4 linked regions of the Anolis sagrei genome follow. The protein of the gene in region 1 interacts with the protein of each later gene in a biochemical or structural test. Links are inferred from orthologs where the notes say so. Each region holds a gene or a part of one and is shown on either strand. Other genes may lie near its edges. The genes, in order: SRC, MAPT, TAMALIN and ENO1.

Region 1 (8,240 bases):
CCTTGATGGATTTCACATGCTCCCTGGCTCTACTCAGTTTTACCCAACTCAGCTGCATCTTAGCCTTCTCAGGTTCTGATTCATATAGTAATTCCCATATTTTACTTCATGGAATAAGAAGTTAGTATTCTTGAAGGAACTCCCCTCAATTTTTTATTAGTGCATCGTGCTGATGACTCACACTTCACTTGTGGTCAACTAAGGCCCCTTCCACATAGCTGAATAAAATCCCACATTATCTGCATTGAACTGGAATATATGGCAGTGTGGACTCAGATAACCCTGTTCAAAGCAGCTATTGGGTTTATATGGCTGTGTGAAAGGGGCCTAAGGCCTCTAGATCCTTGCCATATGTTGCCGTAATGTGACTGTACTTTAACTTCTATTAGTGCAGGTACAGAAATGGCTTGGGTTGCTTTTCTCTGGACACATTCCAGATTGTCAATATTCTTGAATTGTGGTGCTCACAAAGGCACATAGTATTCCAATGAGCTCTGACCAAAGTGGAACACAGTGGCACAACAACTTCTGTCAATAGTAAGACAATATATTCTTGTTGATACAGTCCAGAACTGCATTGGCGTGTGTTTAGCTTTTGATCAACCAAGACTCTTAGATCCTTGCCCAGGCTATGTGCTTTTATAGTTTCTACTGGCGCAGGTACAGAAAAAAATCAACAGCTGAGGGCATGACGGCTCCTATTTTAGACTGAGGTTGCAACCTTTACTTTGAATTATCACCCCGCCCCCAGCAAAAACTCCAGTTAAGAAAATAATGTACACAGAGATGCAGAAGGTATCGATCCATCTCTCTCAGTACTGCCTGCTCTACTTGGCAGCACCTCTTTAGGGACTTGGGCAAAAAAAGCTTCTTGTTTCATTTTTCATTGCACTCTTCCACTGAACTCAGTTTCATCCCATGAGTTATAACCTATAGGAAGACTGATACATCTGAGTTGACTAGATGGGTTGGAAGCACCTGGAAGCTGTTAAAGACTCTCATCTGCTAGATCTGTACCAATAAAAGAGCCTCATTTAATTCCTTGGTTATCATTCCCAGGTAATCACACCTAAGACCCAGCCATATGGCGGTAGTTCTGTCTTACCTATAGGGTTTTCTTAGGCAAGGAATATTTAGAGGTGGTTTTGCTTGTTCCTTCCTTTGAAAGGTAGTGTACAGCACCTGGCATTTGTTGACAGCAGATGCAGGGAATGCCATGGATGTAGCGTAGATTTCAGAAAGTCCTTCGTCAAGGTCCCCCATGACCTTCTGGCAAGCAAACTAGTCAAATGTGAGCTAGGCAAAACTACGGTTAGATGGATCTGTAATTAGTTAAGTGAATGAAACCAACGGGTGCTCACCAATGTTTCCTCTTCATCTTGGAAAGAAGTGACAAGCGGAGTGCCATAAGCAGGGTTCTGTCCTGGGCCCGGTCCTATTCAACATCTTTATTAATGACTTAGATGAAGGGTTAGAAGGCATGATCATCAAGTTTGCAGATGACACTAAATTGGGAGGGATAGCCAATACTCCAGAAGACAGGAGCAGAATTCGAAATGAACTTAACGGATTAAAGAGATGAGCAAAAACTAACAAAATGAAGTTCAACAGTGACAAATGCAGGATACTCAATTTAGGCAGAAAAAAATGAAATGCAAAGATACAGAATGGGGGACGCCAGGCTCGAGAGCAGTACGTGTGAAAAAGATATTGGAGTCCTCGTGGACAACAAGTTAAACATGATCCAACAATGTGATGTGGAGGCAAAAAAAAAAAAAAAGCCAATTGGATTTTGGGCTTCATCAATAGGAGTCTAGTGCCTAGATCCAGGGAAGTCATGCTACCCCTCAATTCTGCCTTGGTCAGACCACACCTGGAATACTATGCCCAATTCTGGGCACCGCAATTGAAAGGAGCTGTTGACAAGCTGAAGTGTGTCCAGAGGAGAGCAACCAAAATGATCAAGGGTCTGGAGAACAAGTCCTATGAGGAGCAGTTTAAAGAGCTGGGCATGTTTAGCCTTCAGAAGAGATGGCTGAAAGGAGACATGAAGAGGGCCTTGCATAAATATGTGAGAGGTAGTCATATGGAGGAGGGAGCAGGCTTGTTTTCTGCCGCCCTGGAGACTAGGACATGGAAAAATGACTTCCAACTACAGGAAAGGAGAGTCCACCTTAGGAACAGCTTCCTGACTGTGAAAGCTGTTCAGCAGTGGAACTCTCTGCCTCGAAGAGTGGTGAAAGCTTCTTTGGAGGCTTTTAAACAACTGGATGGCCATCTGTCAGGGGTGCTTTGAATGCGATTTTCTTGCTTCTTGTCAGGGGGTTGGACTGGATGTCCTACAAGGTTTCTTCCAAGTCATGTTACCCCTCTATTCTACCTTGATCAGACCACATCTGGAGTACTGTATCCAATTGAAGGGAGATGTTGACAAGCTAGAATGTGTCCAGAAGAGGGCGACTAAAATGATTAAGGGTCTTCCAACTCTATGATTCTATAATCCCAGTATGAACAAGGGCTGATCCTGCTTTGCTTCCAAGATGAGAAGGGTTTGGGCACCTGGATGAAGGTACAACAGGCATGGGCAAACTTCAGCCCTCCAGGGGTTTGGAAGTTCAACTCCCACAATTCCTAACAGCCAGAGTTGAAGTCCAAAAGACCTGGAGGGCTGAAGTCTGCCCATGCCTGTGTTAGAGCAGTGTTTCTCAGCCTGTGAGTCCCCAGATGTTTTGGCCTTCAACTCCCAGAAATCCTAACAGCTGGCAAACTGGCTGGGATTTGTAGGTCAAAACACGTGGGGACCCACAGACTGAGAACAACTATGTTAGAGGGTGGGGCAGTCCCTTCCATGCTTACCTGAGGGGAAAACAACTCCATGGTTTTACGTGGAAAATTTCTGTTTGAGCAAACAAAACAGGGGGAATTACTGGACCTTCCTATCTCCTTTTCAGATTTTTTGAGGGGAAAGAGGAAGGAAGGAAGGAAGGAAGGAAGGAAGGAAGGAAGGAAAGAAGGAAAGAAAGAGACAGGAAGGATGGAGAGAAAGGAAGGAGAAAGAGGGAGGAAAGAGAGAAGATAGGAAGGAGAGGAAGGAAGGAGAAAGAGGGAGAAAAGAGAGAAGATAGGAAGGAGAGGAAGGAAGGAGAAAGAGGGAGGAAAGAGTGAAGATAGGAAGGAGAGGAAGGAAGGAGAAAGAGGGAGAAAAGAGAGAAGATAGGAAGGAGAGGAAGGAAGGAGAAAGAGGGAGGAAAGAGTGAAGATAGGAAGGAGAGGAAGGAAGGAGAAAGAGGGAGAAAAGAGAGAAGATAGGAAGGAGAGGAAGGAAGGAGAAAGAGGGAGGAAAGAGTGAAGATAGGAAGGAGAGGAAGAAAGGAGAAAGAGGGAGAAAAGAGAGAAGATGGGAAAGAAGGAGAAAGAGGGAGGAAAGAGAGAAGATAGGAAGGAGAGGAAGGAAGGAGAAAGAGGGAGGAAAGAGAGAAGATAGGAAGGAGAGGAAGGAAGGAGAAAGAGGGAGGAAAGAGAGGAGAAGATAGAATCAAAGAGTTGGAAGAGACCTCATGGGCCATCCAGTCCAACCCCCTGCCAAGAATATTGCATTTAAATCACCCCTGAAAGATGGCCATCCAGCCTCTGTTTAAAAGCTTCCAAAGAAGGAGCCTCCACCACACTCTGGGGCAGAGAGTTCCACTGCTGAATGGCTCTCACAGTCAGGAAGTTCTTCCTCATGTTCAGATGGAATCTCCTCTCTTGTAGTTTGAAGCCATTGTTCCGCGTCCTAGTCTCCAGGGAAGCAGAAAACAAGCTTGCTCCCTCCTCCCTGTGGCCTTCTCTCACATATTTATATATGGCTATCATATCTCCTCTCAGCCTTCTCTTCTTCAGGCTAAACATGCCCAGCTCCTTAAGCCGCTCCTCATAGGGCTTGTTCTCCAGACCCTTTATCATTTTAGTCGCTCTCCTCTGGACACATTCCAGCTTGTCAATATCTCTCCTGAATTGTGGTCCCCAGAATTGGACACAATAATCCAGGTGTTGTCTAACCAAAACAGAATAGAGGGATAGCATGACTTCCCTAGATCTAGACACTATGCTCCTATTGATGCAGGCCAAAATCCCATTGGCTTTTTTTGCCGCCACATCACAAAAAAGCCAATGGGATTTTGGCCTGCATCAATAGGAGCATAGTGTCTAGATCTAGGGAAGTCATGCTACCCCTCTATTCTATTTTGAGAGGAGAAGATAGGAAGGAGAGGAAGGAAGGAGAAAGAGGGAGAGAAGAGAGAAGATAGGAAGGAGAGGAAGGAAGGAGAAAGAGGGGGGAAAGAGAGAAGATAGGAAGGAGAGGAAGGAAGGAGAAAGAGGGGGGAAAGAGAGAAGATAGGAAGGAGAGGGAGGAAGGAAGATCCCCACCGAAATGATTAAGAGGGAAATTGAGTAGAGGGGGGAGAAAAAAGTCCTACGACCCTCAGGAAGAGAGCATCCACCTCTCTCCCAGACGTGAAGCCCTTGAGGACCACAATCCACCCCCTCCCTTTATAAACCACCCTCCCCAAGGCCTCCTCCTCCTCCTCCTCCTCCAGGCAGACACCACGCCCGACGTCAGCAAGCGCCTCGTAGACGTCACGCCTTGACTCACCGCGACGTCATACCTCCCTCCAACCCTCCTCCTCCTCCCCCTCCCCTTTTGCCCGGGCAGGACGGAGTCGCGCGGCTCCTTTCCGCCTCTTTCCTTCCTTCCTTCCGCTCTTCCTCTTTCCCCCCAAAAATCAAGCCAAGGAGGCGGCAGCTTGTCCTCCCCCCTTCTCTCCCCTCCCCCCAGCTTCCGGTTCTGCTGCCATATTCCTTTTTTTTATTTTAAAGGCAGGGGAGGAAAACCCGCTGGGAAAGGGAAATAAAGCAGCGCAAGCGAAGGGAGGCAAGGAAGAGCTGCGTCCTGCTCGCCTTCTCCTCTCCCTTTGGATGCTCTTCGGGTCGGAGGAGGCGCTCCAAGGCTTCCTCATTCCGGAGGAAGGAAAAGGAGAAGAAGGAGAAAGGAGACGCCGGGCTTTCTGGAAGCCGCAGCGAAGGGACTGCTGCTGACATCACTTTCTCGCAAGCCGTCCAAGTTCTGGTCCCTTTCGAGGCTCAAGTCTCCAGCGAAGGAAAGAAAAGAAGGGAGAGAAGGAAGGCAAGACCCAGGCGCGCCTCCCGTCCTAGCAAAGCTCCTCCTGAATGAATACGCGGCGCTTCCTCGCTGGGCCGCCTTCCTCTCCCTCTCCTCCTGGGTTGCCTCTGTTTACTTCCAACTGAGCCCCCCTCTCCTTCCTTCCTTTGGGTTTGGGAAGAGGGAGAAGCACACCAAGGAAGGGAGGAAGCCAAGCAGACGTCGTCTATCAGCTGAGACCGAAAAGCCGGCGGAGGAAAGAGGAAGGAAGGTAAGCCGCTCCGCCGGTGGAGAGAAGCGTCTCTCCTGTTTGCAGGGAAGGAGACAGCTCACTACTTGGCTGGATGGGACTTAGACCCTCCAGGTGTTTTGGACTTCAACTCCCACCATTCCTAATAGCCTCAGGCCCCTTCCTTTCCCCGGCTGAGGGGGGAAAGGAAAGGGCCTGAGGCTGTTAGGAATGGTGGGAGTTGAAGTCCAAAACACCTGGAAGGAAAGGCCCAAGTTTGTCCATGGGTGCCGGTTAACTGAGAGTCTGCAGCACGTGTCTGTGTTTCGAATTTCATGTCTGAATATCCCTTTCTTTCTCCTCCTCTCCTTCCTTCAAGAAAAAGGAATATGGATTAATAATAATAATATTTTCGAAGGCTTTCATCACTGGGTTGTTGTAGGTTTTTCCAGGCTATATGGCCATGTTCTAGAGGCATTCTCTCCTGACGTTTCGCCTGCATCTATGGCAAGCCTCCTCAGAGGTTCTGAGGTCACATAGCCCGAAAAAACTTACAACAACTGGCCATGTTCTAGAGGCATTCTCTCCTGATGTTTCGCCTGCATCTATGGCAAGCCTCCTCAGAGGTTGTGAGGTCACATAGTCCGAAAAAACCTACAACAACCCAATAATAATAATAAAACTTTATTTCTAGACCGCCCTCTCTCTCTGAAGGGACTCAGGGCAGTTTGCAGACACAAAACAAAAAGGCAAACATTCAATACCTTCAAATGAATACAAAATACATAAGAATAATACAAGATAATGCACAGAAACAACCGTACACTTGCAACAATTAAGCATCGAGATGGAAATGATTGAAAAGCAATCCAGTAAGAGATGGTAAACTAAAACCTGAGAAAAGCATTACAATGTTTACCCTGTAAGCAATTATGATACAATTACATTGGAATGGGTTGTTTTGAGTTTTCCGGGCTGTATGGCCATGTTGCAGAAGCATTCTCTCCTGACGTTTGGCCCACATCTATGGCAGACATCCTCAGAGGTTGAGGGGTCTGTTTGGAAACTAGAAGAATGGGGTTTAAGCCTTCCTGAGTCCTCCTTTGGAGGTTGAGAAGGGCGGGATACAAATGCTCTAAATAAATAAATAAGTAAATAAATAATCTGTGGAATGTCCAGGGTGGGGGAAAGACCTCTTGTCTGCTGGAGGCATGTGTCAACGTTGCAATTGGCCACCTTGATTAGCATTTAATGGCCTGCAGTTTCAAGGCATGGCTAGTTGCTGCATGGGGGAATCCTTTGTTGGGAGGTGTTCGCTGACCCTGATGAATTCTTATCTGGAATTCCCCTGCTTTTTGAGGCTTGTTCTTTATTTACTGTTCTGATTTTAGAGTTTTTAAAAAACTGGTTTCCAACAAACCCCTCAACCTCTGAGGATGCCTGCCATAGATGTGGGCCAAACGTCAGGAGATAATGCTTTCTGGAACATGGCCATACAGCCCGGAAAACTCACAACAACCCATTGATTCCAGCCATGAAATCCTTTGACAACACAATAATATTAATAATAGGACTTTATTTCTAGAACGCCCTCTATCCTCAAAGGGACTCAGGATGGTTTACAGACACAAAACAAAAAGGCAAACATTCAATGCCTTAAGTAAATACAAACACATCAAAATAATACAAGATAATGCACAAAAACAACAGTAAACATACAACGAAGAATTATCCATCGTGATGAAAATAATTAAAAAAAACAAACCAATAAGTGATAGTAAACTAAAACATGAGTAAAACACTACAACATATACCCTAAAAGCAATTATGATACAATTACAATAAAATGGCTAACACCTGTATTCTTTTAAGATGTATTGTAGCAGCCAAAAAATACAAGTGGGTTATGGATATTGTGTGTATATGTATGTGTATGTATCTCTTTGCTCCTGCTCCTGAATTCCCCTTTTATTCTAATGGCAGCTATTTCCACTGAGTGGGTTCATCTTTCTCCCTTTCAGTAAAGGCGGGGAAAGAAAGGCAGAGCCTGGTTCTGATGCCTTGTTGTTGTTGTTGTTTGTGCTCAGTGTGCGTGAAAGGATGCAGGCCAGGATGCTTGGCCGCCAGGGAAGAGGATCCTTGGGGGGGGGGGGGGGGCTTTCTTTTGTTGTGGTTCAGTGTCTGCTTCTATGGGAGTGAGGGGAGGGGGCTTCCTGTCTGGTCCCAGGTGCCCTCCTCCCTCGCCCTCCCTCCCGCTTCTTACACTGAGAATCAAATCATTTGGGGGAAAAGAAACCAGGGCAGGAGGGAGGGGGAGAGGGCAACCCAGGAGCTGTTATCTAGGCCAAGAGATGAAATATTAATAACACGACCCATTTCAAGGGCTTTTCCAGCCCAACCCCCCCCCCCCCCAATCCCACCCCCTGTTGTTGTTATTGTTGTTCTGCTTCTGATGTAGAAGCCTTCTTTCCAGAGAGGAGTGTCGCCTATGGGTTTATGTTGTATCATCACCTTAAAGCATGCCTATGTCTATGCCTATGCTCCACCCCCCCCCCCCCCCATTAAATATCTCCCACTTAACTTGGTCTCGCCTTAAATGGTGAGGGTAAGGATTTAATCTCCTGGATAATTTGGAAAAGCTCTTTAATTAAGGAACAAATGGGCCTCTCGCTGCCTTCTAACTTGGGATGCTTTGTGTTTGGAAGCCTGAGGAGATATTATAATATAATATAATCCTCTTCCTTGCCATACACATACAGAGACAATTTCTGTGTCACTGAAAACCAAGGGGATTGAGTCGTAATCCTGCTCAAGACCTTAGTGGGGAGGAGGTCAATGGTGTGTATGTGTGAGTGCACGCCTGCCTCT
Region 2 (7,803 bases), on another chromosome or scaffold:
CCAGTTCTTTGACAACTGAGGATAACACATCATGCATTGAAAGTGAACACATGTGAAAGTTTATACTGCAATATACATATTGTCTTTAAAATGAAACCAGACTTAAACATTTAAAAATGTTGAAAATCCATAAACCTGTGCATGGCAATAAATGTGCAAAGCCTTAAAGAAACAGAACACTGATTTTGTCACATAATAATAAATTCAGCCAAATACAATTGTTGTGTGACTCCTGTGTATAGATTAATCTTTTACAGTTGCATAAATTGGTACCGCCAGCGTATCGTTATGAAGGTTAGTCCCATTGAATTCTGGGGTTTACTACAAAAAAATATTACTATAAGTACGCACAGGGTTACATGGCTACTCATCCGCTTCAGAAGCCAGTACAAGACGGACTGCTTGAATACATCACAAGCGGCAAAGAAAATCTTCTTACAAAACGTAATAGCATAATAGGAGAGCTGTGGGAGGGCTAACACAGGGAAAGAATGACAAGTTATTACTAGTACACCTCCATCCCTTTCTTCATTTGTGTAGCACTGTGGAAGATGGAGAGAGCAGGGGCAATTTGTGGATAGAACAAGGGCATGCTTTTCCCCCAACTTTTGTGTGTGTGTGGTATAGAAGCTAATATAATGTAGTGGCTTGAGACTAAGGGCCCTTCCGCACAGCCCTATATCCCAGAATATTCCAGGAGAAAATCCCACAATATCTGAGTGTGGATTCATATAACCCAGTTCAAAGAAGATATTGTGGGATTTTCTGCCTTGATATTCTGGGATATAGGGCTGTGTGGAAGGGCCCTGAGTCCACACTGCCATATATTCCAGTTAAAAGTAGATAATGTGGGATTTTATTCAGCTGTGTGGAAGGGGCCTGAGTCCACACTCAGATGTGGGATTTTCTGCCTTGATATTCTGGGATATAGGCCTGTGCAGAAGGATCCCTAGTTCAAAGCAGATAATGTGGGATTTTATACAGTTGTGTGGATGGGGCCTGAGTAGCCTTGCAGTTGCAAAGCCTGGCTGCTACTGCCTGGGGACATCCATTGTTTGGGAGGTGTTAACAGGCACTTGATTGTTGGCTGCCTGGAATTCCTGTTTCTGAGTAGTGTTCTTTATTCTGGTGTTTTGTTTTTTTTATATTATTACTAGCTGTCCCCTGCCACGCGTTGCTGTGGCCCAGTCTGTGTGTATGTGCTTTGTATGTGCATATATTTGTATATATGTGTACATATGTGTGTTTGCATGCGTGAGTGCATATATGTGTGTGTGTGTGTGTGTAGTTTTGTGCATGCGTTTGTAATGTAATTTTGGCTTTTTAAGTCTCTTCTGCTGTTTTTTTCAGTGTTTTTATGAGTGATGGTCACTCGTTGGCTTGATATGCATATTGTGTCCAAATTTGGTGTCAATTCATCTAGTGGTTTTTGAGTTATGTTAATCCCACAAATGAACATTACATGTCTGTTTATATACTATAGCTGTCCCCTGCCACACATTGCTGTGGCCCAGTCTGGTGATCTGGAAAATAAAGCAATGTGAAAGTGTTGGTTTCTAATATATGCAATGCCTTTATGCTTGTGGGTAAACAGTATTTCTTGTTTTTTTTTGTTGTTTTTTTGTGTCAGTGTTGATGTGGAGATTGTCTGGTTTGCCTACTCTGGAACATGCAACATATAATTGTCCTTCTTTAGGGGTCCCCTTCAAATCTATGATACTATATCTGTGTGTGTGTGAATTATATATCTATATCTATATCTATATCTATAGCTGGATGGCTCTTTGTCAGGAGGGTTTTGATTACGTTTTCTTGCCCTGGTGAAGGGAGTTGGACTGGGTGGCCTTAAGTATTTTCTGTTGATCATGAGGGTTCTGTGTGGGAAGTTTGCCCCAATTCTGTCATTGGTGGGGTTCAGCATGCTCTTTGATTGTAGGTGAACTATCAAAGACCATGCTGAACTCCCAAATGTCAAGGTCTATTTTCCACAAACTCCATCTGTGTTCATATTTGGGCATATGGAATATTCGTGCCAGGTTTCAATGCCCACCAAACCCTTCTAGTGTTTTCTGTTGGTCATGGGAGTCCTATGTGCCACATTTGGTTCAATTCCATCATTGGTGGAGTTCAGAATGATCTTTGATTGTAAGTAAACTATAAATCCCAGCAACTACAACTCCCAAATGACAAATCAATTTTTTTGAGTGATGGTTCTCCTTGGGTTAGTAGGTGTCTTGTGGCCAAATTTGGTGGCAATTCGCCCATTAGTTTTTGAGTTCTGTTAATCCCACAAACGAACATTGCATTTTTATTTATATAGACTAGCCATCCACTGCCACACGTTGCTGTGGCCCAGTCTGTGTATATGTGCTTTGTGTGTATATATATGTGTATATATATATGTGTATATATGTGTGTTTGTGTATATATGTGCTTTTGCACATTCGTTGTAATGTATATATAATATTTGGCTTTTTCAATCTCTTCTTCTGTGTTTTTCAGTGTTTTTATGAGTGATGGTCATTTGTTGGCCTGATAGGAGTATTGTGTCCAAATTTGGTGTCAATTTGCCCAGTGGTTTTTGAGTTATGTTAATCTCACAAACGAACATTACATTTTTATTTATCTACTAGCTGTCCCATGCCACGCGTTGCTATGGCCCAGTCTAGTGATCAGGAAAATAAAGTAATGAGAAAATGTTGGTTTCTAATATATGTAATGTCTTGATGCTTGTGGGTAAACAGTATTTCTTGCTGTTTCTTTGTCAGTGTTGATGCGGAGAGTGTGTGGTTTGCCTACTCTGGAACATGCAACATATAATTGTCCTTCTTTAAGGGTCCCTTTCAAATTTATGATACTATATCTGTGTGTGTGTGAATCATATCTATCTATATCTACTACTGGATGGCTCTTTGTCAGGAGGGCTTTGATCACGTTTTCTTACCCTGGTGAAGGGAGTTGGACTCGATGGCCTTAAGTAATTTCTGTTGGTCATGGGGGTTCTGTGTGGGAAGTTTGCCCTAATTCTCTTGTTCATTGGATTAAGAATGCTCTTTGATTGTAGGTGAACTGTGAATCCCAGTATCTACAACTCCCAAATGTCAAGGTCTATTTTCCCCAAACTGCACTGGTGTTCGCTTTTCGGTATATTGACTATGTGTGCCAAGTTTGGTCCAGATCCATCATTGTTTGAGTCCACAGTGCTCTCTGGATGTAGGTGAACTACAACTCCCAAACTCAAGATCAATGCCCACCAAACACTTCTAGTATTTCTGTTGGTCATGGGAGTCCTATCTGCCAAGATTAGTTCAGTGCAATCATTGGTGGAGTTCAGAATGCCCTTTGATTGTAGGTGAACTATAAAATCCAGCAACTACAACTCCCAAATGACAAAATCTATTTTTTGAGTGAAGGACATACATTGGGTTGATAGGTGTAGCGTGTCCAAATTTGGTGCCAATTCCCACAGTGGTTTTTGAGTTCTGTTAATCCAACAAACGAACATTACATTTTTATTTATATAGACTAGCCATCCCCTGCCACGCGTTGCTGTGGCCCATTCTGTGTATATGTGTTTTGTGTGTGTATATGTATGTGTATATATTTGTGTATGTGGTTTTGCACATGCATTGTAATGTATTGTTTATTATTTGGCTTTTAAAGTCCCTTCTGCAGTGTTTTTCAGTGTTTTTATGAGTGATGGTCACTGGTTGGTTTGATATGTGTCTTGTGTCCAAATTTGGTGTCAATTCGTCCAATGGTTTTTGAGTTATGTTAATCCCACAAACGAACATTACATTTTTATTTATATAGACCAGCCGTCCCCTACCATGTGTTGCTGTGGCCCAATCTGTGTATGTGTTTTGCATGTATATATATGTGTATATGTGTGTGTATATATATTTATGTATATGTGTATATATGTGTGTTTGTGTATATATGTGGTTTTCTGCATGCGTTGTAATGTATTTTTGGTTTTTAAGTCTCTTCTGTTGTGTTTTTATGCGTGATGGTCACTCATTGGTCTGATAGGTGTATTGTGCCTAAATTTGGTGTCAATTCATCCAGTGGTTTTTGGGTTATGTTAATCCCACAAATGAACATTACATTTTTATTTATATAGATAAGATTAATTAATACTGGTAACCAGATTATTATGCTTTCCTCCTTTCTGTTGAAATTGTCTACGTTTGTGGATTTCAATGGCTTCTCTGTGTAGTCTGGCATGATGGCTGTCAAGAGTGGTCCAGCATGTCTCTGTTTCCAAATAGTATTCTGTGTTGGTTGGTTTATCAAGTGACTTCTCTGGTGGAATTATCCCTACCTTGATCGAGTTTACCCTTGCAAGAAGGGGCATATATTTTTTTTTTGTTTCAAAGCCGGTCCCCCCTTTTTTTCCCAGAGACAAAGAACCAGGTTAGAAAAAGGAGCGCCAGCAGCGTCCGCTCGTGCGCAGGCGCAAACAAGGGAGGTGTCGAGAGAGGACAAGAGCGGCGCGTGAAGTGCGCCTGCGCGGCAGAGCCCCATCTGGCTCGCTAGGGAGGACTCTCATAGGCGAAGGTTCGGGAGCTTGTGCGCGCGGCCGCGGCAGGAGAGGCGCGCTCCCGTTCTCCTCTGCTGTCACTCCCCCTCCTCCCGGCTTTTGGTGAGCGAGGCTTTTCCAGCGAGCTTTCCCTGCAGCAGCGGTCGCAGCCGCAGCGCCAGGTAGGGTTTCCCTGAAGGGGGGGAAAGGCCCCTTTGAGGTTTGGCAAGGCTTGGGAAGCGGGCTGAGGTTGGGAAGGGTCTGGGCTTATTAGCCTTGAGGTGCATGAGGGAGCGCTCTAGCAATGGCACCACGGTTCCAGCTCCATGCCAGACAGGGGAGGCTTGCTTCATGCTGCCTTTCCATTTGCTCAGTCTCTGTTATCATTCAAATAGGACCTTATTCTTCTTTAACCACACCCCTCCCTCCAAAGGAGCCTTGTGGTGAATGAGCCACGCACTTGCCACCTGCCAAGGCTTATGTGGCAATAGGCACAGAGAGAGAAATTACTCCTCTGGGGCTTATTGCAAAAAATAGCCCATTTCCATCCACAGCCATTGATTCTTCTGAGGCAAAATGGGGCAGCAGCAGGGGTGTGTCTCTCCTGAACCTCAATAGGCTTCCTTGCAGGAGAAAGGTGTGCCTTTCAGCTCTTTCCTACACACACACATGCTTTGTCATAGTGTTCAAACAATGCAGCCTTGCATGTTGATAATTGGAAGACATTTGGAGGGATTTTTTTTTTTTTTGGATGGAGAGAAATCATCAAAAAATGTCACAAATGAATTCTCCATCTATGGATTCACAGGTGACTTTTTCCTCCATTTGAGACTTGAAGGAGAAAGAAAACAATGAAATGGAACAAATGGCTCTCTTGCGGTGGTGATGCTTCCAGTTAAAATTTAAGGATGTCATCTTTGGACTCTCTATTCTTCTCCGTTTTTTGACATGCTCCCCCTCCTCTTTTTCCCTTTGCCGGTCCCTCCCATAGGTCTGTGCTCCTCTTTGGAAGACTGGTTTTGATTGTGAGGGAGATGGCGAATGATAGGCTGTTGGTGCTGCAGTAGGTGTGGATCTCGGAGGGAGAAAAAGGATGGGCTCTTCCCCCTCCCTTTCACATCGGTGGTGCCATGTTTTGCAGTCCATGTCATATTTCCAGGATTGCTTAGAGCGTTTGCGTGATTGGGGGGGAAAAATAGACTGACAACCTACCAAAGGAAAAGGTGCTCTATGTTACTGTATTTTCACGGGGGAAAGGATGCTATCTAGGTCATCTACTTTAGAGGAGGGGTTGCTTTGTTCTATAAATGGGTCAAAATTATGGGATTTACCTTTGGGGTTTTAAAATCATGGGTGTGACAACAGAGCAAGGCTAGGGCTCCTTTTGAGAACGAAAACACGTCTCTTCCACCATCTCACACCATAATTAAATTGCCAACCTTACATTAATAGAAAATATTCTGAATAGAAATATAATTTACCAGCACATATTTCCAGATGTAGATCTAGCGATGTAACAGCAGAGTGAGGTTAGTGCGTAGTGTGTTGTGTTGTATGTCTGTGTGTTGGGGGGGGGGGGGGATGAAGATAGCTCTCTTCTACAATCCTACCCCACTCCATATTTAATTACCGACCTCACATTAGTAGAAGTATTCTGAACAGAAATATAATACATCGGCACGTATTTCTGGATGTAGATGTAGTGCCATTTTTTGCTCTGCCTATGCCGAGATGTGCAGCCCAATTGTTTGGTGTCTTCATTGTGATATTTTTTCCCCAGTTTCAAATGGTTTTCTCACAGGGGGAAAATGGATCAGAGTGTAATAGCAGCGGCTGGTCACGCCCAGTGGTAGGCTTGAATACATGGTTGCAAAGTACAGTTCTCATTGGGTAAAGATTGTGGTATGCTCATGTAGTTTTGGGTGGGGATGAAGAGGAAAAAATCCTTTGTCTACTTCCAGAATTAGCATTTTGAAAGCTCTTTTGCTAGAAGTAATATTGTAACCCCTTCTGTTAAATCTTTTTGCTAGAATTGATATGTCCACTTCTATTTTTTAATCGAGTATCATGTCTAATTACAATGTGCAAATATAAACTCCTGTATTGGTAAGTAACATCAGTGATTTTGTTCAACAAGAGTGGCGTGATATGATAGGATGGATGAGATCATACAATTCAAGATAGAAACATTTCCCAGGATCACCATTCTCTTCTCTCAGTCCTTTAAATAGTTGATTTATAGCTTCACTACTCTATTCTTAACTTACTTCCAGAATGTGTGAACACAATAAGTTTTTGCTATAATGAAAGGCAGCAGTTATATAATACTTGAGATTTTGCAGATATTATGAGGCATTCTTAGAATAATTTTGTTTAGTTATTCAACACTGTTACCTCCATGTCGCAGTTGGCAGATAAGACTGGATTTTCTAAGCTGCCAAGTGGCTTCTTGGCTGAAGTGACCACTACACCAGCTTTCTAATACTGCATTCTGTCCTACATAAGATATGAAAGGGAGTATATCATAGGAATATGTCCTTTATTACTATTCCATTGAAGTTGCTACAAAATGTTGGTTTTATTGAAATGACGCTAGAGCTCTGCTCTCTCGTGTTGGGTCATTTCTTCTCCATTACAGTGAATAGTTTTGGAAGACATCTAGGTGTTAACAGAAGCATTTTTAGTTGGGAAAACTGTTTGTTATTTTGTGGTTCGTACAGAACTAAATGAAAAGCCACTTCTAGCATTACAAGATATCCTATTACATATTTCACTAACTACAGGGGGTGGTTGGTGGGTACTCAGGACAGGGCTTTCTCAGGAACATCCACACTCTTGTTACATCTAGGATAGATTACTGTAATACACTTTACGTGGGGTTGCCTTTGAAGACTGCTCGGAAGCTTCAAATAGTCCGAGAGGCAGCTAGGTTAATAACAGGGAGCATACAATTCCCATATTACACCAGCTCTACTGGCTGCCAGTTTGCTACCGGCTACAATTTAGTGCTGGCTTTGGCCTATAAAGCCCTAAACGGCCCCGGCCCAAATTACCTGTCCAAACGCATCTCTTCCTATGAACCATTGCGGAGATTAAGATCCTTCAGGGAGGCCCTGCTTTCCCTCCCGCCATTGTCACAGGCACGATTGATGGGGATGAGAGACAGGGCCTTCTTGGTGATTGCTCCCCGGCTATGGAACTCCCTTCCTGGTGAGATCAGGTCGCCCCCCTCTCTCCTGTCCTTTAGAAGGATGGTAAAAACTGTGGGACCAAGCTTTTGG
Region 3 (8,309 bases), on another chromosome or scaffold:
GAAATCAATAGAGGATGGTTGGATCAAGTGACAACCAAGAAGATTAGTTTCTTGGTAAAGAGAGAGAGCAGAGGTCTCAAGAGAAGCATCTGGGTAAATTACAAGCAAGAGGGAGTTGGGAACAAGTGGCCTGGAAACTAAACAGTGGAAAACTCCCAGATATCCTCAGACACCACAGCCAATAGCCAGTTGGTAAGGAGATTCTGGGAGCTGCAGTAAACAAAGGGAACTTTTCAATAGTTTGGAGCCACGGTGACGCAAGGGCTGAACTGCTGACCTGAAGATCTGAAGGTTGGTGGTTCAAATCCAGGAAGTGGGGTGAGCTCTTGTGTGTTAGCCCCAGCTTCCCATGCACTGACACAAGAGTAGCCTCCCACAGGATGGTAACACATCCGGGCATCACCTGGACAACCTCCTTGCAGATGGCCAATTTTCTCACACCAGAAGCGACTTGCAGTATTCTCAAGTCGCCTCTGACACGATAAAACAATAGTTTGGTCTCTACAAAGCCTTGTTCATTCTGGTAACACGGGAGCAGTTCAGAACCTATTGTCAATGATGGCTCTATCCATTTTTATCCCTCTTTTAAAATAGAAATTATGGTCTATCACATGCATACACATTCTCAAGGCTTATGCATGTTTATTTTACAATTTGATGTTAAAACTCTGTCATTTCACTGCATTCATTATCATTAGATATATAATATAGAACTACCTGCAGCAACTTGCCGTGTGGAAGGAAACTGGACAGGAAATTCACAAAAGGATGGTAGCCTGAAGTTGAACTAATTTATGAGGAGTTAAATCCCAAAGATTACTTCCTAGAAGGCACAGTCTAGTCTGCCAAGATTATAAAAACAAGCCAGTGACAGTTCGAAAGCAGGGAGGAGGGGCATGCTCAAGATCCTAAAGAGTCTGGAAAAGTTACTTCTGTGGACCACAATTCCCAGAATCCCCTGGCCACGCTAGCTGGACGATTTGGGGAATTGTATGCCAAAAAGGTAACCTATGTTATTGAAAGCTTTCATGGCTGGAACCACTGGGTTGCTGTGACTTTTCTGGGCTGTATGGCCATGTTCCAGAAGCATTCTCTCCTGACATTTCACCCACATCTATGGCAGGCATCCTCAGAAGTTGTGAAGTCATAACTTCTGAGGATGCCTACTTTAGATGTGGGTGAAACGTCAGGAAAGAATGCTTCTGGAATATGGCCATACAGCCCAGAAACTTCACAGTAACCCAAAAAGGTTTACATCTGAGTATGCTATCCCTTGCTCCCAGGAAATGCCTGATCAGCTTTCCTAAAAGCACTTAGAAAAAGGGTTGATAGGAAGTTCGTTGAAATTATAGGAAGATTCCCTTCTTGCTGTCAGACCAACTTTTCCAGGGAATCCAAAAATGGACCCAGAGCAAAGAACTGGAAAGTACCACAAAGTATGGGTTGAGAGATACACAATTCTTTCTTGTCCCAAAAACGAGCATCCCACGGAGGAAACTTTCCAACACGCAGACCAACTTTAAACCTGATCCCTATATTTTAAGTTGAAATACTGCCCAATCCTTTTTGTATGTTTACCCAGAACTGAATCCCACAGAAAACTGCACAATACAGTACCCTTAAAGATATAAAGTGCTTGCTAAGGGGATAAATGGTTAGGGATTCAGCGCTGGGTTTGTGCATCACACCCAAAAGGGCTTGCACGCCTTTGTCAGGAATAATACGGCTGTGGAAGAGAAAGACAAACAACCACTCCAGCCAAGACAGTGCCAAACTGACCCTCAACTGTGTGTCCCAGAAAATACACACAAAGGGTTGTAGTAGGTTTTTCCGGGCTATATGGCCATGTTCTAGACTCTAGAGGCATTTTCTCCTGACGTTTTGCCTGCATCTATGGCAAGCATCCTCAGAGAAGGATGTTTGCCACAGATGCAGGTGAAACGTCAGGAGAAAATGCCTCTAGAACATGGACATATAGCCCAGAAAAACCTACTACAACCCAGTGATTCTGGCCATGAAAGCCTTCGACAATACAAAACACACAAAGCTGGACCACAACACGTTTGAAATGTCCTTTATATCGAGACTCACAGACACCTCTTCCTAACTTTTGCACTGATGTTTCCCTACTTTCTCTCTCTTAAAAATAACCAAAAAAAAGTATCATCTTATACATGTAGTCCTAGAAACCATAGGCCAGGAGCCCCCAGAGGCACAATGGGTTAAACCCTTGTGCTGGCAGGATTGCTGACCGAAAGATTGGCCGTTTGAATCCAGGGAACGGGATGAGCTCCCATCTGTCAGCTCCAGCTCCCCATGCAGGGACATGAGAGAAGCCTCCCACAGGGTGGTAAAACATCCGGGTGTGCCCTGGGCAACATCCCTGCAGACTGTTAGTTCTCTCACACTAAAAGCGACTTGCAGTTTCTCAAGTTGCTCCTGACATTTTAAAAAAACAGGCCAGTTTCCCAAACTGTGCTCCTCCAGATGTTTTGGACTTCAGTTCCCACAATTCCTAACAGCTGGTAAGCTGGTTGGGATTTCTGGGAGCGGAAGCCCAAAACACTTTGAGGAGCAGAGTTTGAGAAGCACTTCCATAGGTGATCCTGCGACTTCCATGGCTGGGTCTAGAATAGATGCTTGAGAGGATGTGACATAGAGGAGCCTCTTTCTCCTTCGAAGCAGAGGCTGGATGGCCATCTGTCGGGGAGGCTTTGATGGTTCTTTGCCAGAAAAAGGTGGGACTGTGCCTCTTCCAGCTCGAGGATTCCAGGAGACAGAGAAGGATGGGGGTCAGGAGACATGTCAAGGCGAAAGTCCTGCGAAGTAGTTCCCCAGAACTCGGCCTTGGGACCCGCATGGCAGGGCTGGGGACGGCCACGAGGAGGGAGGGATGGGGGCTTCCCTCCCTGCCTGCTTCCTTCGGTCTCCGCCCTTCACTCACCCGCCTGGCTCTGGGCAGGGTCCCTCCTGAGGCCGCCAGCGCCTTCTCCAGCTCCAGCTCCGAGGCTCTCCCCCCGAGGACGCCCCTCGCCCCCGGCATGCTCCCGGAGCCCGCCGCTTCCTCCTCGGGCTGCCCGGGACGGAGCCTCCGGAGCCTCCGCAGGGTCATGGCCGAGCAGGGTGGGTGGGTGGGCGACGGCTTCGAGCGAGATGGGCTCCTCCGAGGGGAGGCTGGCGAAGACAAGGGAAGGGGACGAGCCTCCTTGCCAAGGCCACGCCCCCTCATCTGCATAGCCCCACCCCTCATCTGCATAGACGCGCCCACTGCCATTTCAGCCGCCTCTGGAGTCAATGGAAACCACGCCTTCTCTTCCTGCAAGCCACGCCTCTTCTCCAAACAAGCCACGCCCCTCCCTCGAGGAATTCTCCTCTCTCTTCCATTCCACAATGTAGAATCCTTTTGTTGTTGTTCATTCGTTCCTTACTCTTCGTGACCTCATGGACCAGCCCACGCCAGAGCTCCCTGTTGGCCGTCACCACCTCCAGCTCCTTCAAGGTCAAGCCAGTCACTTCAAGGATGCCATCCATCTATCTTGCCCTTGCCCTCTTCCTTTTTCCTTCCATTTCCCTCAGCATCATTATCTTCTCTAAGCTTTCCTGTCTTCTCATGATGAGGCCAAAAAACTTCATCTTGGCCTCTACTATTCTTCCGTCCAATGAGCAGTCGGACTTTATTTCTTGAAGTATGGACTGGTTGGATCTTCTTGTGGTCCAAGGCACTCTCAGAACTTTCCTCCAGCACCACAGTTCAAAAGTGCCTACCTTCCTTCGCTCAGCCTTCCTTATGGTCCAGCTTTTGCATCCATGGGTTACTTACGGGGAATACCATTGCTTCGTTGCCAGTGTGATGTCTCTACTCTTCATTATTTTATCAAGATTGGACATTGCTCTCCTCCCAAGAATTGTAGAATCGTCTATATAAATAAAAATGTAAAGTTTGCGTTGTTGTAGGTTTTTTTGGGCTATATGACCATGTTTTAGAGGCATTTTCTCCTGACATTTCACCTGCATCTATGGCAAGCATCCTCAGAGGTAGTGAGGTCACCTCACGACCTCTGAGGATGCTTGCCATAGATGCAGGCGAAATGTCAGGAGAAAATGCCTCTAGAACATGGCCATATAGCCCAAAAAAACCTTTAACAACCCAGTGATTGCAGCCATGAAAGCCTTCGACAATACAATGTAATGTTTGTTTGTGGGATTAACATAACTCAAGAACCAATGGACAAATGGACACCAAATTTGGACACAATACACCTATTAGGCCAACAAGTGACCATCATTCATAAAAATACCGAAAAACACATCAGAAGAGACTTAAAAAGCCAATTAAAAATACATTACTACACATGCACAAAACCATATATATATATATATATATATATACACACACACACACAAACACACATATGCAAATATACAGAAATATACACACACACATATACACACACACAAAACATATACACAGACTGGGTCACAGCAATGTGTTGCAGCGGACGGCTAGTAAAGTCATAGAGTCTTTAGAATCATAGAGTTGGAAGAGACCTCGTGGGCCATCTAGTCCAACCCATTTGGCCAATAAGCAGGAAAATCACCTTCAAAGCACCCCCAACAGATGGCCATCCAGACTCTGCTTAAAAGCCTCCAAAGAAGGAGCATCCACTACACTCCAGGGCAGAGAGTTCCACTGCTAAACAGTTCTCACAGTCAGGAAGTTCTTGCTCATGTTGAGGTGGAATCTCCTTTCCTGTAGTTTGAAGCCATTGTTCCGCGTCCTAGTCTCCAGGGCAGCAGAAAACAAGTTTGCTCCCTCCTCCCAGGGGCGGCTCAACCCATTACGCAAAGTAAGCATTTGCAGTATAGTTGATTTTGCCCAGGGGCGCTCTTGAGGCGCTCTTGGGGGAAAATAGACCTTGACATATGCGAGTTGTAGTTACTGGGATGAATAGTTCACCTACAATCAAAGAGCATTCTGAACTCCACCAATGATGGAATTGAACCAAATATGGCACACAGAACTCCCATGATGAACAGAAAATTTATATCAATGATTGGTTGGGGGGGGGGGGGGAGGCGCCAAAATACTGTTTGCTTACCATTGAAAATTACCTAGGGCCACCTCTGCCTCCTCCCTATCACTTTCCCTCACATATTTATACATGGCATGGCGCATTAACATGTGGTGTTTGCGCCCTACACCACTGGAGGAATTATACTCTTTAGCTGGCATTGCACCACCTGACATCTGCTGGGAAGTAGCAGCCAACAATGAAAGGACCAAGGCAGTGACATCTTCGGGCCATCCTCTGTTCAACCAGCACACCAACGCCTTAAATCAATTAATACAGAGATACTTACAGGAACACCTCAGCAAGTAAGAGTCCAAAAGTAGCAGGCTCAAACCTGAAACCTCAAGCTATGGTTGATACTGAATGAGAGACTCCCATTTGGGCACACAGAAGACGGGGTGACTTGGAAGGCAATGAACACGAGATGCAGAGCCAACCATAAGAAATGGGGCCACAAAGTGGAGTCCAGCCAACCACAGGCCACTTACTACAATGCAGCCTGAGCCCTGCCACATTCATAATGGAGGATCTTCTCACAGCGATACCAGAGGCACTCCAAGTGGCCAGCCACTGGTCAAAGGACATTTAGTATAATGCCAAGTTTTTAAACTTCTTGTTTTTTTAAAAATATATACATTACAACTATACCCCTGATTTGCATATGATACGATAAATAAAAACCATGACCCAGGAGTGCAAGTGTTGGGCCTGTGTTGCCTCTCCCCATTAATGGAGCTGGGTACCTGCAATTACTAATGGAAGGAGAGATGGCAGGAATGTGCGCAGGCCTGCTGCCTGGCACACACAATGCCTGCCCTCTTCAACTTTTCCCAACTACTTGGGCGCCTCTCCTTTGCCCGCTGCACGAGGATGGGTCAGGCTTCTAAATGCAGGAGCGCCCTCTGCCGGCATCCAGCCGAATTTCAGGGATAATGTCTGCTGGGCCCTGCAAAGTCAGGGATAGAATCATAGGCACAGAGTTGGAAGAGACCTCGTGAGCTATCCAGTACAACCCCATTCGGCCAAGAAGCAGGAAAGTCACATTCAAAGCACCCCCGACAGATGGCCATCCTGCCTTTGTGGGAAAAAACTAGAAGGCGCTTGACATAAACAAAGAAGAAAACAAGCTTCTTCTGGGAAACTAATAATAACTATTATAATAATAGCTATTATAATGTTAACCTTTAACATCTAAAAACCCTAATATAATAGTTCTGAACCTGCTTGCCATCAAATTACCCTATATGCTATATATATTATTTAAGTAAAAACATTGATCTAAAAAACCTTGGCTGACTTATCAAGGGGTCAATGTAAATATTGTACCTTAACTCTTATGAAAAAGGAACAATCTCTTCTGAATACAGTGGTGAAAGGCAAAAGCATAGCCCCATATGCCAGGGGAACGTATAGGACGCACTAAGCCAGCTTTGCTCTCTCCACCATGGCACAGTTTCTGACCTTTTCAAATGCCTTACAGCAGTGTTTCACAACCTGGGGGTCGGGACCCCTGAGAGGGTCATGAGGGGGTGTCATAGGGGCCGTAAAAGGCCATCAGAGAACACAGTGTTTTCTGTTGGTCATGTGGATTCTGTGTGGGAAGTTTGGCCCAATTTTGTTGTTGGTCGGGTTCAGAAGGCTTTTTGATTGTAGGTGAACTATAAATCCCAGCAACTACAACTCCCAAATGTCAAGGTCTATTTCCCCCAGACTCCACCAGTGTTCACATTTGGGCATATTGAGTGTTCGTGCCCAGTTTGGTCCAGATTCATCATTGCGTGAATCCACAGTGCTCCTCTGGATATAGGTGAACTACAACTCCCAATCTCAAGGTCAATGCCCACCAAACCCTTCCAGTGTTTTGTGTTGGTCATGGGAGCTTTGTGTGCCAAGTTCGGCTCAAATCCATTGCTGGTGGAGTTCAGAATGCTCTTTGATTATAAGTGAACTAAAGAGGGAAAGAATGAAGGAATAGGAAGAACCTCCAAAAGATACCGGGAAGTCAACGCCAGAATCATCATGCATATCCCATTCCCCCACTCTTTCCCCACAACTCTCTTCCCAATTCTCGATTCCCACACCTGGCACATTATATATATATGTATATATACATTGTTTCAACATCTATTAATCACACTACTTCCTATTCTTTTCTACGCTTTTACTCTCCCCTCCCACTACCCTAAACTCCTCTTTACCACCCTACCCATCAGCTATTGTATGTTTTTAATGGAAAATTAATAAAGATTATTTTAAACAGATTATAAGTGAACTATAAATCCCAGCAACTACAACTCCCAAATTACAAAATCAATCCTCCCCACTAGCATTCACATTTGGTTGTATTGGCAGGGGTGGCTCAACCCATTACGCAAAGTAAGCATTTGCAGTATAGTTGATTTTGCCCAGGGGCGCTTTCGAGGCGCTCTTGGGGGAAAACAGACCTTGACATATGCGAGTTGTAGTTACTGGGATGTATAGTTCACCTACAATCAAAGAGCATTCTGAACTCCACCAATGATGGAATTGAACCAAATATGGCACACAGAACTCCCACGACGAACAGAAAATATATATCAGTGATTGTTGGAAAGGGGGGGGGGGGGGGAGGCGGGAATACTGTTTGCTTACTGTTGAAAATTACCTAGGGCCACCTCTGCGTATTGGGTATTTGTGCTCAATTTGGTCCAGTGAATGAAAAATACATCCTGCATATTGGATATTTACGACTTATAACAATAGTAAAATGACAGATATCAAGTAGCAACAAAAACAATATTATGGTTGGGGGTCACCATAACATGACGAACTGTATTAAGGGGTCAGGGCATTAGGAAGGTTGAGAACCACTGCCTTACAGGATAATAGTGGTGGCTTTCTTATTGACTTAGGCATGGGTCATATCAAAATCCATACAGACAAATAGAACATAAAGAATATATAAAAATAGTCTAATGTATGATTCAGTAAAATGAGAATCAATAGAATTAAAAATATTTTAATAACAATTCTGGAAACAAAAATAAGAGCAAAGTTATGGAAAATAGTTACTAAAAGTCTGTTGAAACAATCGGGGTTGAAGGTATTACCCTGTATATACTCATTTACAAATTGAAGGCAGGTTTGGGGGCCAAAATTAGGATTTTGATATGAACCACAGACCAATCAAGGGTCGTTCTGTGGAGAGGGAAAGGCACCAAGACCACTTTAGAGGGCCAGCTGCCCCTGGCTCCCACC
Region 4 (7,739 bases), on another chromosome or scaffold:
ATAATAATAATAATAATAATAATAATAATTATTATTATTTGGACCTGGAGAATTCCAAGCCTGGCTTCAAATAGGACAATTAAATATACACTTAAATATTATTATATTATATTATAACATCATATTATATAATAATAATAATAATTACTATTATTATTATTATTATCTGGACCTGGAGAATTCCAAGCCTGGCTCCAAACAGGAATATTAAATCTACACTTAAATATTATATTATATTGTAATATTATATCATTTAATAATAATAATAATAATAATTATTATTATTATTATTATTATTATTATCTGGACCTGGAGAATTCCAAGCCTGGCTCCAAACAGGAATATTAAATCTACACTTAAATATTATATTATATTGTAATATTATATCATTTAATAATAATAATAATAATAATGATAATTATTATTATTATCTGGACCTGGAGAATTCCAAGCCTGCCTTCAAATAGGAATATTAAATATGCACTTAAATATTATAATATATCATCATATTATAATATTCTTATATTATATTACATAATTATTATCTGGGCCTGGAGAATTCCAAGCCTGGCTCCAAATAGGAATATTAAATATACACTTAAATATTATATTGTAATATCTTATTATAATAATAATTATTATTATTATTATTATATTATTATTATTATTATCTGGGCCTGGAGAATTCCAAGCCTGGCTCCAAATAGGAATATTAAATATACACTGAAATGTTATTATATTATATTATAATATCATATATAATAATAATAATATCTGGACCTGGAGAATTCCAAGCCTGGCTCCAAATAGGAATGTTAAATATAGACTCAAATATTATATTGTATTAGAATATATTATATTATCATACTATATTATAATATTATATTACATTATCATATTATATCATTATTATCTGGACCTGGAGAATTCCAAGCCTGACTCCAAATAGGAATACTAAATATGCACTATATATAGTATATAAGCAAAGCCAATAAATAAATAAATAAATAATCATATTATAATATTATATTACATTATGATATTATATAATTATTATCTGGGCCTGGAGAATTCCAAGCCTGGCTCCAAATGGGAATATTAAATATGCACTCCAATATTATGATATATTCGAATATATTACATTAACATACTATATTATAATATTATATTACATTATGATATTATATAATTATTATCTGGACGTGGAGAATTCCAAGCCTGGCTCCACATGGGAATACTAAATATGCACTCAAAATATTATTATAATATATCAGAATATATTATATTATCATATTATATAATAATATTATATTATATAATTATTATCTGGGCCTGGAGAATTCCAAGCCTGGCTCCAAATGGGAATACTAAATAGGCACTCAAGTATTATTATACTATATTAGAATATATTGTATTATCCTACTATATTATAATATTATATTACATTACGGTATTATATAATTATTATCTGATGATATTATATAATTATTATCTGGGCCTGGAGAATTCCAAGTCTGGCTCCAAATGGGAATATTAAATATGCACTTAAAATTATATTATTATTATTATGCTTCTCCTGATAAGATCTAAGAGGCACCAATGAACGCAGAGCGGTTTCTCAGATGTGGGAGACCAGGGTGACCTTGGGCAAAGTCACACTCTCTCAGCCTCGGAGGAAGGCAAGGGGAAAGCCTCCCCCAAAGAAATCTTGCAAAATAACCATCATAATCCCTTATTAGGTAACAAGAAATCAGATTATGAGTGTTGGACTATGACTCCGGAGCACAGGATTCAAATCCTCACTCAGCCACAAATGACCTTGAGCAATGAATGGGATTTTGGAGGGCATGTGAACTTTTAAGTATACCTTTAAATGTATTTTAATATTTTTATCTTCCAAGCCACACATGTTATTAAATTCATATATTTTTTTATTGCAGTTGCTTAAGTTTTCAAGTATATTGGGTCATGTTTGCTGTTAACCCACATGGGAAAACATTGGAAAAAATAAAAATATAATATAAATATAAAATAAATCAATAAAATAGTTCAATAAACAAAGTTTTATTATTATTTTTATCTAGGCCTGGAGAATTCCAACCCTAGCTCCAAATAGGAATATTATTTATTTATAGCATTTATATTCAATGTTAAATTATTATAAAATATTAATATGCACTTAAATAGTATACTGTTATATATTAAATATGCACTTAAGTATTATATTATATATTATACTATATTGTATTTATTTACAGCATTTATATTCAATATTAAAGTATTATCATATATTAAATATGCACTTAAATATTATATTATTATATCATACTACATGATTATACTGTAATTAATTATTTACAGGATTTATATTCAATATTAAATTATTATGATACATGAAATATGCACTTAGATATTATATTATTATATTCTAATATAACATTTATCACTTTACATTATTATTATATATTAAATATGCACTTAAATATTATATTATTATATCATACTACATGATTATACTGTAATTATTTATTTACAGCATTTATATTCAATATTAAATTACTATTAAATATTAAATATTTACTTTCTTATTATATTATTATATTCTAATATAATATTATCATTTTACATTATAATAATAATATATAATATCATATTATAAAAATAAAAATATTAAATTATTATTATATATTAAATATGCACTTAATATTATATTATTATATCATACTACATGATTATACTGTTATTATTTATTTACATAAATAAATAAATACATAATAGTATATTATATGAACATAAATAAATATATAATAATATATTATATGAACATAAATATATATAATAGTAATTTAATATTTATATTCAATATTAAATTACTATCATATGTTAACATGCACTTAAATATAATATTAGATTCTAATATATCATTTTATATTAATATATATTATATTAGAAAAATAAATATATGAAAAATACATTAAATAGTCACACTCTCTCAGCCCATGATAGGTTCACTTCTCCTTTATTTAGGGCCTTCCTTTTGCATTTTGGGCCCTGCTCTGATGGAAGAGGACCTTAAAAAACTACCTAGATATTTGGGAAAGGATGCAAAGTGGTCCTTTGTTCCCTTTGCAACCAAATCCATTGCAGGAATTTAGAATATATTATCCAAATAATAATCACATACACTAACACCCATGCACTTACCTAGGACTAAGAACAGCGCCTGGCAATGCAAAAAAAAAAGTAACTTACAATGATAGAAAACTACTTACTGTTTGCAAAAAGAACCAAGCAAGAGAATTGCAAAGGCTGCTGCTTCCTGTGCAACTGGGGAAGATCCGCCTGGCTCGCGCTGAGCTATAACCCGGGCGTATGCAAATCAATGCCCGGGACTCGGCTTTTTATTGGCTGGCTGGGTCCCCGGCTCCTTCCTGATTGGTCAGGACGCGCCTCTCGCCAGGCTCGCCTAGCCTTTCTGGCGCGTGCGCTACGTGCACAAACGCCTTCCTTTTTGCTCAAAGAGAGAGAGAGAGCGAGAGAGCAAAGGAAAGGAAGGAGAATTTTTCTCTCTCCTTTTTTTCACTCTTAAAACACCCGCATTTAATTTCTTTCTTTTTTTTTCAAGGATGGAAAATCCCCATTTTTTTGCAAAGACAATGCAAAAATGCAATACAAAAAAATAATACAATACAAAAAAATACAATACAAAAAGCAATACAAAAAAATAAAATAAAAATGCAATACAAAAAAAATAAAATTGAAATACAATACGAAACAAAAAAAATACAATACAAAAAATAAAATAAAAATGCAATACAAAAAAAAATAAAATTGAAATACAATACGAAACAAAAAATACAATACAAAAATGCAATACAAAAAAATAAAATAAAAATGCAATACAAAAAAAAATTGAAATACAATACGAAACAAAAAAAATACAATACAAAAATGCAATACAAAAAAATAAAATAAAAATACAAAACAAACCAAAAACAATCCAATACAAAAAAGCAATCCAAAAAATAAAATAAAAATACAATACAAAAATCCAATCCAAAAAAATAAAATAAAAATACAATACAAACCAAAAACAATCCAATACAAAAATGCAATACAAAAAATAAAATAAAAATATAATACAAAAAAAGAATACAATACAAAAATGCAATACAAAAAATAAAATAAAAATACAATACAAACCAAAAAAATACAATACAAAAATCCAATAAAAAAAATAAAATTAAAATACAATACAAAAAAAGAATACAATACAAAAATGCAATACAAAAAATAAAATAAAAATACAATACAAACCAAAAAAATACACTACAAAAAAAAGAGAGTGCAAAGGAAAAAGACTTTTTTTCTTTCTCTCCTGTTTTTTAAAAAAATGCATTTAATTTATTTCTTTTTTCCAAGGATGGAAAATCCCCATTTTTTGCAAATACAAAAATGCAATACAAAAAGTACAATACAAAACAAAAAAAAAATTACTATACAAAACAAAAAATACAATACAAAAATGCAATTCAAAAAAAGAGAGAGGAAGGAGACTTTTTTCTTTCCTTTTAAAAATATATTTAATTTCTCTCTTTTCTTTTTTTCAAGGATGGAAAATCCCCAGCGGTGTGAGCTTCCGCTGTCAGCCCTAGCTTCTGCCAACCTAGCAGTTCAAAAACATCAAAATGTGAGTACATCAATAGGTACTGCTCTGACAGGAAGGCAACGGTGCTCCATGCAGTCATGCTCATCATGACCACACTCTTTTGTTGATTTGCCACACGCAGCTGGATTTTTGTGTGTCAACACACCGCCGCGAAAGGGAGTTAAGTGGTACTGGCATCAATGGAAAGAGAAAGAAAGAGAAGGAAAAGGCAAAAGCAACAGGGAATTAATGTAGGCAAACAGATTTACCAGGGGCCGGTTCGTACCAAGTCTCTGAAAATTGGCATCTATTTATTTATTTATTTACTGCATTTCTATGCCGCCCTTCTCACCCCGAAGGGGACTCAGAGCAGCTTACAATATATATTTTCATACCATATATTTACAGAGAGTTTCATCTATGCTGATGATCGTGCCATCACCGCTCAAGCAGGGAGCTTTGAGATGGTTGAACAGAAGCTTTCCGAAGCTCTAGGTGCTCTCACTGCCTCTTACAGGGAAAACCAGCTGATCCCTAATCCATCTAAAACACAGACATGTACCTTTCACCTTAAGAACACACAAGCATCCCGAGCTCTGAGGATTATTACCTGGGAAGGAATCCCACTGGAGCATTGCAGCGCACCCAAATACCTGGGAGTCACTGTGGACCGTGCTCTGACCTACAAGAAGCACTGCCTGAACATCAAGCAAAAAGTGGGTGCTAGAAACAATATCATACAGAAGCTGACTGGCACAACCTGGGGATCACAACCAGACACAGTGAAGACATCTGCCCTTGCGCTGTGCTACTCTGCTGCTGAGTACGCATGCCCAGTGTGGAACACATCTCACCACGCTAAAACAGTGGATGTGACTCTGAATGAGACATGCCGCATTATCACGAGGTGCCTGCGCCCTACACCACTGGAGAAATTACACTGCTTAGCCGGTATTTCACCACCTGACATCCGCCGAGAAGGAGCAGCCAATAGTGAAAGGACCAAGGCAGTGACATCTCCAGCTCATCCCTGTTTGGGTATCAGCCAGCACGTCAACGACTTAAATCAAGACATAGTTTTCTAAGATCTACAGAGACACTCGCTGGAACACCCCAGCAAGCGAGAGTCCAAAAGTGGCAGGCTCAAACCCAGCACCTCAATTTGTGGGTGATACCAGATGAGAGACTCCCTCCTGGGCACACAGAGGACTGGGCGACTTGGAAGGCGCTGAACAGACTGCACTCGGGCACCACGAGATGCAGAGCCAACCTCAAGAAATGGGGCCACAAAGTGGAATCCACGCCATGCGAGTGTTTACAACGTTGTTTACAATGCAGTCAAGTCTTCATGTGTGTGTCATATTTCCCGTAGCATGAATACATGTCTTTACGATAGATAGCCACATGGTTTTTCCTGGGAATCCAGATTCACAGCAGACAGTATCAGGCCTTGCGCATGCCTGTTTAAGAACAAGAGGATTCTTTCTCATGCAAGGGGAGAAGAGAGCATTCCTGTTAGCCTTGGCATCTGTTTGGGCAAGAAGAGGCCTGCTTTATTAGCATTCGAATGAGCAGCTGCTACTTTTGGGCATATTGAGTATCTGTGCCAAGTTTGGTCCAGATCTATCATTGTTTGAGTCCACAGTGGTCTCTGGATGTGGGTGAACTAGAACTCCCAAACTCAAGGTCAGTGCCCAACCAAACCCTTCCAGTATTTTCTGCTGGTCATGGGAGTCCTGTGTGCCAAGTTCGGTTCAATTCCATCGCTGGTGGAGTTCAGAATGCTCTTTGATTGTAGGGGAACTGCAAATCCCAGCAACCATAACTCCCAAATGTCAAGGTCTATTTTTCCCAAACTCCACCAGTGTTCACATTTGGGTATAGTGAGTATTTGTGCCAAATTTGGTCCAAATCCATCATTGTTTGAGTCCACCTTGCTCTCTCAATGTAAGTGAACTACAACTCCCAAACTCAAGGTCAATGCCCACCAAACCCAGTATTTTCAGTGTGCCAAGTTTGGTTCAATTCTATCATTGGTGGAGTTCAGAATGCTCTTTGATTATAGGTGAACTATAAATCCCAGCAACTACAACTCCCAAATGTCAAGGTCTATTTTTCCCAAACTCCACCATTGTTCACATTTTGGCATATTGAGTATTAGTGCCAAGATTGGTCCAGATCTATCATTGCTTGAGTCCACCTTGCTCTCTTGATGTAAGTGAACTACAACTCCAAAACTCAAGGTTCAGTGCCCACCAAACTCTTCCAGTATTTTCTGTGGGTCCTGGGAGTTCTGTGTGCCAAGATTGGTTCAATTCCATCAGTGGTGGAGTTCAGAATGCTCTTGGATTGTAGGTGAACTATAAATCCTAGCAACTAAAACCCCCAAATATCAAGGTCTATTTTCCCCAAACTCCACCAGTCTTCACATTTGGGCATATTGAGTATTTGTGTCAAATTTGGTCCAGATCCATCATTGTTTGAGTCCACCGTGATCTCTGGATGTAGGTGAACTACAACTCCCAAAATCAAGATCAATTCCCACCAAACCCTTCCATTTTTTTCTGTTGGTCATGGGAGTTCTGTGTGCCAAGATTGGTTCAATTCCATCAGTGGTGGGGTTCAGAATGTTCTTTGATTGTAGGTGAACTATAAATCCCAGCAACTACAACTCCTAAATGTCAAGATCTTTCCCCCCCACATTTTGGCATATTGAGTATCTGGGCCAAGTTTGGTCCAGATCTATCATTGCTTGAGTCCACCTTGCTCTCTCGATGTAAGTGAACCACAACTCCAATATGCTGGAAGGGTTTGGCTGTAGGTGAACTATAAATCCCAGCAACTACAACTCCCAAATGTCGTCGTTTTTCCCCACATTTGGGCATATTGAGTATCCGTGCCAAGTTTGGTCCAGATCTATCATTGCTTGAGTCTACCTTGCTCTCTTGATGTAAGTGAACTACAACTCCAAAATGCTGGAAGGGTTTGGTTGTAGCTGAACTATAAATCCCAGCAACTACAACTCCCAAATGTCAAGGTTTTTTTCCCCCAAACTCCACCACTTTTGGGCATATTGAGTATCCGTGCCAAG

What was found.
Region 2: the proteins of SRC (region 1) and MAPT form a complex in vitro, tested with the Homo sapiens proteins (3 studies listed by BioGRID and IntAct, with this or other methods). The link is inferred for Anolis sagrei from reciprocal best matches to the Homo sapiens genes SRC and MAPT.
Region 3: of the proteins of SRC (region 1) and TAMALIN, one has a biochemical effect on the other in vitro, tested with the Homo sapiens proteins (2 studies listed by BioGRID and IntAct, with this or other methods). The link is inferred for Anolis sagrei from reciprocal best matches to the Homo sapiens genes SRC and TAMALIN.
Region 4: of the proteins of SRC (region 1) and ENO1, one has a biochemical effect on the other in vitro, tested with the Homo sapiens proteins (4 studies listed by BioGRID). The link is inferred for Anolis sagrei from reciprocal best matches to the Homo sapiens genes SRC and ENO1.

The regions. Positions count from the first base shown.
Region 1 is NC_090024.1:216,704,247-216,712,486, forward strand, and holds the start of SRC (proto-oncogene tyrosine-protein kinase Src), read left to right. Parts: upstream 1-4,655; 5' UTR 4,656-5,414; intron 5,415-8,240. UniProt on the Homo sapiens protein: Non-receptor protein tyrosine kinase which is activated following engagement of many different classes of cellular receptors including immune response receptors, integrins and other adhesion receptors, receptor protein tyrosine kinases, G protein-coupled receptors as well as cytokine receptors.
Region 2 is NC_090026.1:44,349,866-44,357,668, reverse strand, and holds the start of MAPT (microtubule-associated protein tau), read left to right. Parts: upstream 1-4,520; 5' UTR 4,521-4,704; intron 4,705-5,654; exon of another isoform or gene 5,655-5,745; intron 5,746-7,803. UniProt on the Homo sapiens protein: Promotes microtubule assembly and stability, and might be involved in the establishment and maintenance of neuronal polarity.
Region 3 is NC_090022.1:139,274,274-139,282,582, forward strand, and holds the start of TAMALIN (protein TAMALIN), read right to left. Parts: upstream 3,129-8,309; 5' UTR 3,113-3,128; coding exon 2,945-3,112; intron 1-2,944. UniProt on the Homo sapiens protein: Plays a role in intracellular trafficking and contributes to the macromolecular organization of group 1 metabotropic glutamate receptors (mGluRs) at synapses.
Region 4 is NC_090033.1:2,612,392-2,620,130, reverse strand, and holds the start of ENO1 (alpha-enolase), read right to left. Parts: upstream 3,372-7,739; 5' UTR 3,273-3,371; intron 1-3,272. UniProt on the Homo sapiens protein: Glycolytic enzyme the catalyzes the conversion of 2-phosphoglycerate to phosphoenolpyruvate. In addition to glycolysis, involved in various processes such as growth control, hypoxia tolerance and allergic responses.